Linked DNA regions of Macaca mulatta. The protein of the gene in region 1 interacts with the protein of each later gene in a biochemical or structural test. Links are inferred from orthologs where the notes say so. Each region holds a gene or a part of one and is shown on either strand. Other genes may lie near its edges. The genes, in order: leukocyte immunoglobulin-like receptor subfamily A member 4 and BST2.

The links.
Region 2: the proteins of leukocyte immunoglobulin-like receptor subfamily A member 4 (region 1) and BST2 form a complex in vitro, tested with the Homo sapiens proteins (2 studies listed by IntAct). The link is inferred for Macaca mulatta from reciprocal best matches to the Homo sapiens genes LILRA4 and BST2.

The regions. Positions count from the first base shown.
Region 1 is NC_133424.1:66,650,091-66,654,452, forward strand, and holds the end of leukocyte immunoglobulin-like receptor subfamily A member 4, read right to left. Parts: intron 1,464-4,362; coding exon 1,413-1,463; intron 1,324-1,412; coding exon of another isoform or gene 1,295-1,323; exon of another isoform or gene 1,264-1,294; coding exon 1,070-1,263; 3' UTR 686-1,069; downstream 1-685.
Region 2 is NC_133424.1:17,890,862-17,895,426, forward strand, and holds BST2 (bone marrow stromal antigen 2), read right to left. Parts: upstream 2,856-4,565; 5' UTR 2,826-2,855; coding exon 2,532-2,825; intron 1,723-2,531; coding exon 1,656-1,722; intron 1,475-1,655; coding exon 1,414-1,474; intron 1,108-1,413; coding exon 981-1,107; 3' UTR 966-980; intron 654-965; 3' UTR 259-653; downstream 1-258.

The DNA.
Region 1 (4,362 bases):
CCGGTGTGGAGGAGGAGCCTGTGGGTTGGGGGCTGGGATCCCTGGAGGGTCCTGGGAATGGGCACAGAAAGGGACTGAGGAATTGGAGCTATCCTGCAGTCCCCACCTCCACTCAAAGCTCTCCCCTCCATCTGCCCGGTGGCCTCTCCAAGACCCTCCCTCTCCCCACCTAGCACCTTCTGGACTCCAGGTGAAGGAGACGAGGGAGAACCGCTGTTGGCCTCCTCTCCTCTGAGGGGCGAATTCCTCTGTGGCCGAGCCTCCCTCAGAGCCCCCTTCACTCCATCTCTGCCCAGAGCGCTCCTGGGGGCAGGGCCTGAGCCGAACCTTCGAACTTAGAGAGGGCAGGGTCAGGACCTTTCACCCAAGACCGTCAACCCAAGACCACCAGCTCCGACTGGGGTGTGACAGCAGGTCGGGGAAGGTGCAGTCATGTGAGAATCTTGAAGCTGCCCATGAAGGGAGTGTTTATACCACAGTCATCAACAAATTCCACAAATAAATGCTTTTTAGAAAACGTTTTTGTTGTCGTTCAGGAAGCCAGTCTATGGGCACAACAGCAGGCTTTTCCATCAGACACCTCTCTTTTGATTCCTAGTGACTGTATTTCTAGAGAAACAACAGATGGAGAGTGACAGGTGGTAGGGCATCACTTTGAACTTAAATTTTGCAAATGCAAATCTGATTTTTGCACATGGATTTAATTATCAAAAGCAAATTCCATATTATGAGCTGAAAAGATAGTCCCAGTAATACACATCAGAAAATGCACTAGCTAGAAATAAAGAAAGATGTATTACCTGAAAGTGGAGCAGAGCATGAGGTCACAGAGGAGTGGACCCAAACTCACCATAGGGGCAAAACCTTACATCATAGGGAAGAAAAAGGAAGGGAGGGGCAGTCAAGGAGAGTCAACAATGAGGAGGAAAGCACCACAGTTTAGTGGAGGAAGCATCTTCTACAGACACCCAGACACCTTCCTGCACCTGACCCATGCTGCTTCCCCTTGATATTCTCAGCAGACACTTCCCCAACTGCTGCCCCAGTCTTGCAGAACCTCCTGGGATCATCAGATCTGTTCCCAGGGCTCCACCACTCTGAAGGGTGCATTGTCTTCTCTGCTGTTCACCTCCTGGCTGCACCTTGTGGGGCTTCTCTGGCTCTGCTGAGCCTCAAATAACAGAATCCCAAGGAACACCAGGACCAAGCCAGCTATACCCATGCGGATGAGATTCTCCACTGTGTAATCCTGGAGGTGTGGGGCTAGGGATGGTGGACAAAGAGGTCACAGAGGTCAGGGCAGATCATGATTACCCAGGACCCCTGGATGTCCACCCAGGGTACCCACCTCCCCTTGACAGGACCTGACCCTCTGTGCCCAGCCCCATAACTGGGAGCATCTCCTCACTCACCAGTCTTGGAATCTGACTTATTTTGTGCTGGATTGAGGGTCTCAGTTGCTTCTAAAAATCAAAGAACAAGGATGTTGGCAAGAAGCTGAAGAGCCTCTCCCCCAGGCTCTGCTTTCTTATATTCCTCCATCTCTCATGGTGTGGCTTTATGTAGATCCTTAGTGAACACATTCTCTGCTCTAGCAGGCCTCCCCTGGTATGTCATTGGGGTTTTCAACCTCTCTCTGCTCTGGGAATTCAGATCTTGTGTCTGAGTCACTTTGGAACAACGTTTCCTTGAGCCCAAGAGCTCAGGACTAGTGAGAAGAATGATCTCCCAACTAGAAAGAATTGAGCTCTTGTGTGCTGTCTTGGATGTGCAATCTTGTGCAACAAGAACATAAAAACTAATTCCCCCAGAGACAGAAATTTCCATTTTTCAGTGGATGAGGACCCAGTCTCTGTGGATGAGGAGTTGGTCCTCGGTAGCTCTTGAAAGTCAGGAGTACAAGGACTGAAGGCTGCGATGGCCCCCGCTGCGTGCTGCCTCAGCCAGCTCCCCTGCGGTTTCATCATTCGTTTACTGTCTTGTTAACTAATTCTTCATACAGTTAGGAACACCAACAATGTGATATACTTAAATATGAAAATGTATTGTTTTCTAAATGATAATGACTGAGCGGGACAGAAAAACATCATTTCTGCTTTTTTGAAGTATGAACCTAGATTGGAAGGTGAAAGCAAATATTTAAAAACATACCCAAACTTGAAGTAAAATAAAAAATAAAAACAAATAAATATAAAAAAATGATGAAAAATATTAAGCATAGGAATGAATACTTGAATGTATGTTTGTGTCTATATATGTACATAGTACATATATTCATATAAAATATATGTGATTAACATGGCTTATAAAATACATGTGATTAACATGGTTTGCATTTGTGTCCCTTTGAAATCTCATGTTGAATTTTAATCCCCAGTGTCGGAGGAGAGGCCCAGTGGGAGGTAACTGGTTCGTGGGAGCCAACTTCCCCCTTGCTGCTCTCATGATAGTGAGTTTTCATGAGATCTTGTTATTTAAAAGTGGGCAACACCTCCCCGTTCTCTCTCTTCCTCCTATTCCAGCCTCAGAAGACGTTCCTGCTTTCCCTCCACCTTCCGCCATGATTGTGTTTCCTGAGGCCTCCCCAGCCATGCTTCCTGTATGGCCTGTGGAACCGTGAGTCAGTTAAACCTCTTTCCTTTATAAATTACCCAATCTCAGGTAGGTTTTTGTTTGTTTGTTTGTTTTTGAGACAGAGTCTTTGTCTGTCCCCCAGGCTGGAGAGCAATGGTGCGATCTCAGCTCACTGCAGCCTCTGCCTCCCAGGTTCCAGAGATTCTCCTGCCTCAGCCTCCTGGGTAGTTGGGATTACAGGCACCTGCCACCACGACCAGCTAATTTTTGTATTTTTAGTAGAGACAGGGTTTTGCCATGTTGGCCAGGCTGGTCTTTAACTCCTGACCTCAGGTGATCCGCCTGCCTTGGCCTCCCAAAGTGCTGGGATTACAGGCGTGAGCCATCGTGCCCAGCCTCAGGTAGTTCTTTTTTTTTTTTTTTTTTGAGGCGGAGTCTCGCTCTATCACCCAGGCTGGAGTGCCGTGGCGCAATCTCAGCTCACTGCAAGCTCCGCTTCCCAGGTTCACGCCATTCTGCTGCCTCAGCCTCCCAAGTAGCTGGGACTACAGGCACCCACCACCATACCCGGCTAATTTTTTCGTATGTTTAGTAGAGATGGGGTTTCACTGTGTTAACCAGGATGGTCTCCATCTCCTGACCTCATGATCCACCTGCCTCGGCCTCCCAAAGTGCTGGGATTACAGGCGTGAGCCACCGCACCCGGCCCATCAGGTAGTTCTTTATAGCAGTGTGAGAACTGATTAATACAATGATTGTAGATACATATGTATATGTGGCTTTAGATATTTGTCCTAAAAAATATAATGTAGGCCGGGCACGGTGGCTCAAGCCTGTAATCCCAGCACTTTGGTAGGCCGAGACGGGTGGATCACGAGGTCAGGAGATCGAGACCATCCTGGCTAACACGGTGAAACCCCGTCTCTACTAAAAAATACAAAAAACTAGCAGGGCGAGGTGGCGGGCGCCTGTAGTCCCAGCTACTCGGGAGGCTGAGGCAGGAGAATGGCGTGAACCGGGGAGGCGGAGCTTGCAGTGAGCTGAGATCCGGCCACTGTACTCCAGCCTGGGCGGCAGAGCGAGACTCCATCTCAAAAAAAAAAAAAAAAAAAATATATATATATAATTTAACTACATATATATTCATAGTTGAGGTGAGAAAGAGGGGCTTACAATTTGGAAATATAAAAGTGAAATTTCCAGTTTTTTATGGTTGATATAAACAGCCTCAGCGTCTTCCCCTTGTCCATGTCAGGCCTGGACCCCGGGACCCCAAATCCTGCTCAGATAGAGGAGGACAGACCTAGCTCCTCTGCCCATCATCGCTGCTCCCTCCTTCCTGCCTGGTCCTAGGACACCTCCCTCCCCTCTGACCACCACAGAGGGAACACCTGCCCCATCCTCGGGGCCCCAGGAAGCCACGTGGACTATGCCCCTTTTGTCCACTCTCCCCTCTGCTCCCTTTCCTGAATATTGGAGATAAGGTTGAGACGAGTCTAGAATATTATACTGGGTCAGAGTAACTGCGTTTTCATCTCCCATGGGGTCAGGACTTAGAGGTTGGGACACCCAGACGTTGATTCTGAGATGGAGACATCAGCAGCAGAGTGTGTGGGGCCTCCGTCTTCCACCCTCAGTCTAATCTCATCTCCTCCGAGGCTCACCCCCACCTCCTTCCAGTCCTCTCCACTCTTTACCCTACTGAGACTTCAGGGCTGGGAGCCCCGGGTGGGAAGTCCCCATCTATTTCCACACTCCCCTGGCTAGACCTTCCCCTGGGTGGGAGGT
Region 2 (4,565 bases), about 49 Mb from region 1:
GAGGCTCTAGGGAGGAGATGAGAATAAAACACCTGGGAAACGGGGAGCCCTGATGAGGGTGTACAGTCCTTATGTTGATCCCAGCAGACATGAGGGCTGGGAGGAACCGGGGTGGTGCCTCCCCGAACTCCGTGGGCTCCTGAAAATGTCCTGGAGCAGGGAAGGGAGGTGTTGTCATCCACGGGGAGTCCACTCTCACCGGCAGGGGCGGCCCCGACGCTTAGGGACTAACACAATGACACTTCAGGAACTCGAGAGTAAGGTGTGCTCCCCCTCAAAGGAAGTGTTTATTTTTTGGAGCTCAAAGACCCCAGAAAAAGCACACACCCCCCCCGCAAAAAAATAAAACACCCGTAACAACAGGCAGCACGTGCCCCCCCCACCGCACCCCATGCCCAATCTCAGGGCGGGAAACAAGAGGGGCGACTCATTCCCTGCCTAGTTCTGGAGGGAGACAGCCCTGGGTCAACCCGACTGTGTCCCCACACCCAGGGTTGCCCCATGGCCCCTCAAGACCTGCTCCAGAGACCCTTCTCCGGCTACCCCGTGCCCTCCCCGCTAACCGTGCTGCCCCATGACCCGCTCAGAACTGATGAGATCAAGGGCATGTCCAGGCGAAAAGTCGAGCAGGAACCGGATCTTCCAAGATATGCCTAAAGGACCAGAAGAGGGACTCAGGGCAGACTGGAGGCAGCAGACACGGGCCCCGCCCCACCCATCCATAAGCCCCTCCCCTCCATCGATAGACCCGCCCTCATTCATAGCCCCGCCCCATACTGCTATAAGCCCCACCCCCCCTCCAGGGCGCCCTTCTCACTGGATTCTCCCTCCTTCCCCAAGGCCTCTCTCCTCTGCACCCAGTCCCTCCCCCTGCAGCCCCTCTCTCCAGACTTCGGAGTCCCTGCTTCCCCGACCCCCCTCCCCAGCTTTCTTCTCCCTCCCGGGGCCGCCCCCTCCTCACTGACCAGCTTCCTGGGATCTCACAGCAGCAGAGCGCTCAAGCCCAGCAGCAGAATCAGGAGCGGGGGCTCTGCCGCGCAGCTGGAGTCTTGGGAGCTGGCGGAGTCCGTGTCCGCGATTCTCGCGTTTAAGACGTGGTTTTCTCTTCTGCGGTGCAAATGGGGGCAAATCAGGCATCTGTTCGTCCTGGCTCCTGCCGCCCTCCCTGTAAGCCCATCGCCCCCGGGAGTTCCCCCCGCACCGCCCCAATCCAAGTCACTGGGGAGGGAATGGACTGGGGCCACCCATGGCTCTGTGACCCTAGGGGCTAAGTTGTCCTTTTGTGGGACTCAAACCTTACCCCTTGGGGCAATGGGGATTTTGGGAGCAAAGGAGATCCTGGGTCTCGGGGTAGGGACGTGGGGGTGAGAGGAGTGTGGCGGGTGGAGGGTAGCGGGGAAGGTTATCTCTGACCTCAGTCGCTCCACCTCCGCAGACGCGTCCTGAAGCTTGTGGTTCAATGTAGTGATCTCCCCTGGTGGGGTGGGAGGACAGAATCAGGGGGCGGGGCAGCACGTGGCCATGCTGGGGCCCGGCCCCACTCTGGGACAGGACCTCCCCCTTCCCCCAACCTCCAGCCCTGGTCTCCCTGCCCCCACCCCGTCTTCCATAGCTGAGTCACCCCTCCCTAGCCCTCTCCCTTCTCTGTTTCTCACCCTCAAGCTCCTCCACTTTCTTTCGTCCTTGGGCCTTCTCTGCATCCAGGGAAGCCATTAGGGCCATCTAAGAAGAGTCAGAATCTGGGGTTCTGGCCTGGGGAGTTTGGCTGCTGTCCTTAAATGCAAACCCTTTCAGGTTTTCTTCCAACCCTCTCTGCACCATGTTCTCCAACCTTAAAGAACAGCCACAACCACATACTCTCCCAGGGCCACCCATAAGCATGTGGGTCCTCAAAATGGGAGTTTTGAGACCCCCCACATGGCAAGTTGGAGACTGTCGATAACCACACTTTAGTAGACGTTTCCAGATTGCCTGGTCTATGGCTCAAGAAAAGTTAGAGGGCCCTACCAAATCCAGAACGCAGTGGGATTTCCCAGCCCAAGTGACATGCTCAGCAAGAGTTTCAAGATCCCCCATATCAGGACCCAGGTGAATATTTCAGTTTCTTAGTGATGAAGTGAAAATTTCAAAAGCCCCCTTTTTCAGGGTCTGGTGAGGTCCCCCTTCAACCCTGAATAGGGGTTTCTACTCCCCCAGGACTGGTGCCCACTAGGAGCTTCAAGGCTCCCAACACCAGTGCCCTGGAAAGAATTTATCAACTCACCTAAGTCCCGGGGGGTATACTGAGGTCCCTGATTTGGGGGCTCTGGAGAGTTTTAACACCCTGCCCCTACACCAGTGTCCTGGACTGGGTTAGAGGCCCCCATACTCTGGTAGGGGAACCTAGGTCCCTTGATGTGGGGGCCCAGGAACAGTTTTGGGACCTCCCTTGCATCTCCCTGGAGACCCACCCTGTGTCAGATTTCTGGGGAGAGATTATTGTCCTCCCTACCCCCTAGTACTAGGCCATCCAAAGGAGTTGAGGTGCTTACCACAGTCTGGTTGCAGGTGACAGCCTGGGCCTCTGCATCCCGAAAGCCCCGCTGGGCCTCGGCCAGCTCTTGTTGCAGGAGATAGGTGACATTGCGACACTCCATCACTGCCCGGAGGCCATCCTGGCAGGCCTCGCTGTTGGCCTTGATGATGAAGAAAATCAGGAGCACCCCCAGAAGCACTATGACCAGGAGCCCCAGAATTCCTATCACCAGTTTACAGCGCTTGTCCCCGTCTTCCTTCCAAATGTCACCCATGGGCATTTTGCAATAGTCATACAAAATAGGTGCCATCCAGATCTCCCCTCTAGCTGAAGGGAGTCTGGCCTGAAGTTAGGGGAGGGTACTGGAATCTTCTATGGGCCACCCCCTATTAGCATAGGAGCCGTCCTGACCAATAGCAAGTTCCAGGAAGTGCTCTGACCGGCAGCTCTTGCATGAGGCACCTACAGGCAGAGGATTAATTAGAGCTTTCAGTTTCAGTTTCCCAGAAAGGAGGTGGGCTTTTTTTTCAACCCTGCTTTAAAAGGCCTCGGGCCCTTCCCAACTGGGTGCCAGCCAACTGTGGCTGCCTGGGAGACTCTATCTTAAGTCCCTGTGCTTCTGCTGTGTGTTACTGAGTGCCTAGGCCATGGTATTCATCTGTACCATGACCTGAAGAGGCAGAGGCCATCATTGTTGGTCCAGTCTCCACCTGGGGAAACTGAGATTGCACAGTTGAGTGAGGGCAGGGCCTGGGTCTGACCCTAGGGACTTGGTTTTGTGTTCAGGTGTCTCTGTGGTGACTAGCAGGGCTTCATCCAGTGCCCCTGTCCCCACCGAGGGGACTATGGGAGCCATGGAAGGTGTGTGAGCAGCAGGTGAGACTGGAGCCAGCTGAAAACTGGGGGACTGGATAGGCACACACAGCCCAGGTGAGAGGATACCCCAGTCAACAAACAGTGTTGGACTCTGTCCTGGCACCCGCAGGAAACAGGCTTCAACTTTCAGAAAAAGTGCTCCTGGGACTCCAGGATACCAAGTAAACTCTCTGAGCCTGTTTCTTCATCTGTAAAGGGGAATAACAGGGCCAGCCTCTCCAGGAGTGACCAGGGAGAAGATGCCAGTAAAGTAAGTGCTTTGGTATCCAGTAGGTGCTCAATGGATGCGCATGCCACCTGCCAGGCCTGTGGCTCAGGGCAGATGGATGGGAAGATAATGCTTGAACATGGACATATAGCGAGGCTCTTTCTTTTCTTTTCTTTCCTTTTTCTTTTCTTTTCTTTTTCTTTCTTTCTTTTTTTTTTTTTTTTTTTTTTGAGACAGAGTCTTCCTCTGTCGCCCAGGCTGGAGTGCAGAGTGCAGTGGCACGATCTCGGCTTACTGCAGCCTCTACCTCCCAGATTCAACTGATTTGCCCACCTCAGCCTTGCCAGTAGCTGGGACTACAGGTGTGGTCCGGCCTGGCTAATTTTTTTTTTTTTTTTTTTTTTTTTTGAGACTGAGTTTTGCTCTTGTTGGTCAGGCTAGAGTGCAGTGGCTCGATCTTGGCTCACCGCAACTTCTGCCTCCCGGGTTCAAGCGATTCTCCTGCTTCAGCCTTCCTGAATAGCTGGAATTACAGGCATGTGCCACCATGCCCAGCTAATTTTGTATTTTTAGTAGAGAGGTTTAGGTTTCTCCATGTTGGACAGGCTGGTCTCGAACTCCTGACCCTCAGATGATCCACTCGCCTCGGCCTCCCAAAGTGCTGGGATTACAGGCATGAGCCACCACGCCTGGCCACACCTGGCTAGTTTTTTTGTGCTTTTAGTAGAGACGGGGTTTCATCATGTTAACCAGGCTAGTCTCGAACTCCTGAGCTCAAGTGATCTGCCTGCCTCTGCCTCCCAAAGTGCTGGGATTACAGGCGTGAGCCACCGTGCCTGGCCTAGTGGGGATTTTTCTTTGAGGAAAGATAGTTGGCTCCATTTGGGATGTGCTAAACCCCACGGTCCTGGGAGACATCCCTGGAAGACGCCTGGGATGGGGCGGGTGCTGGGGTTGTTGGACACC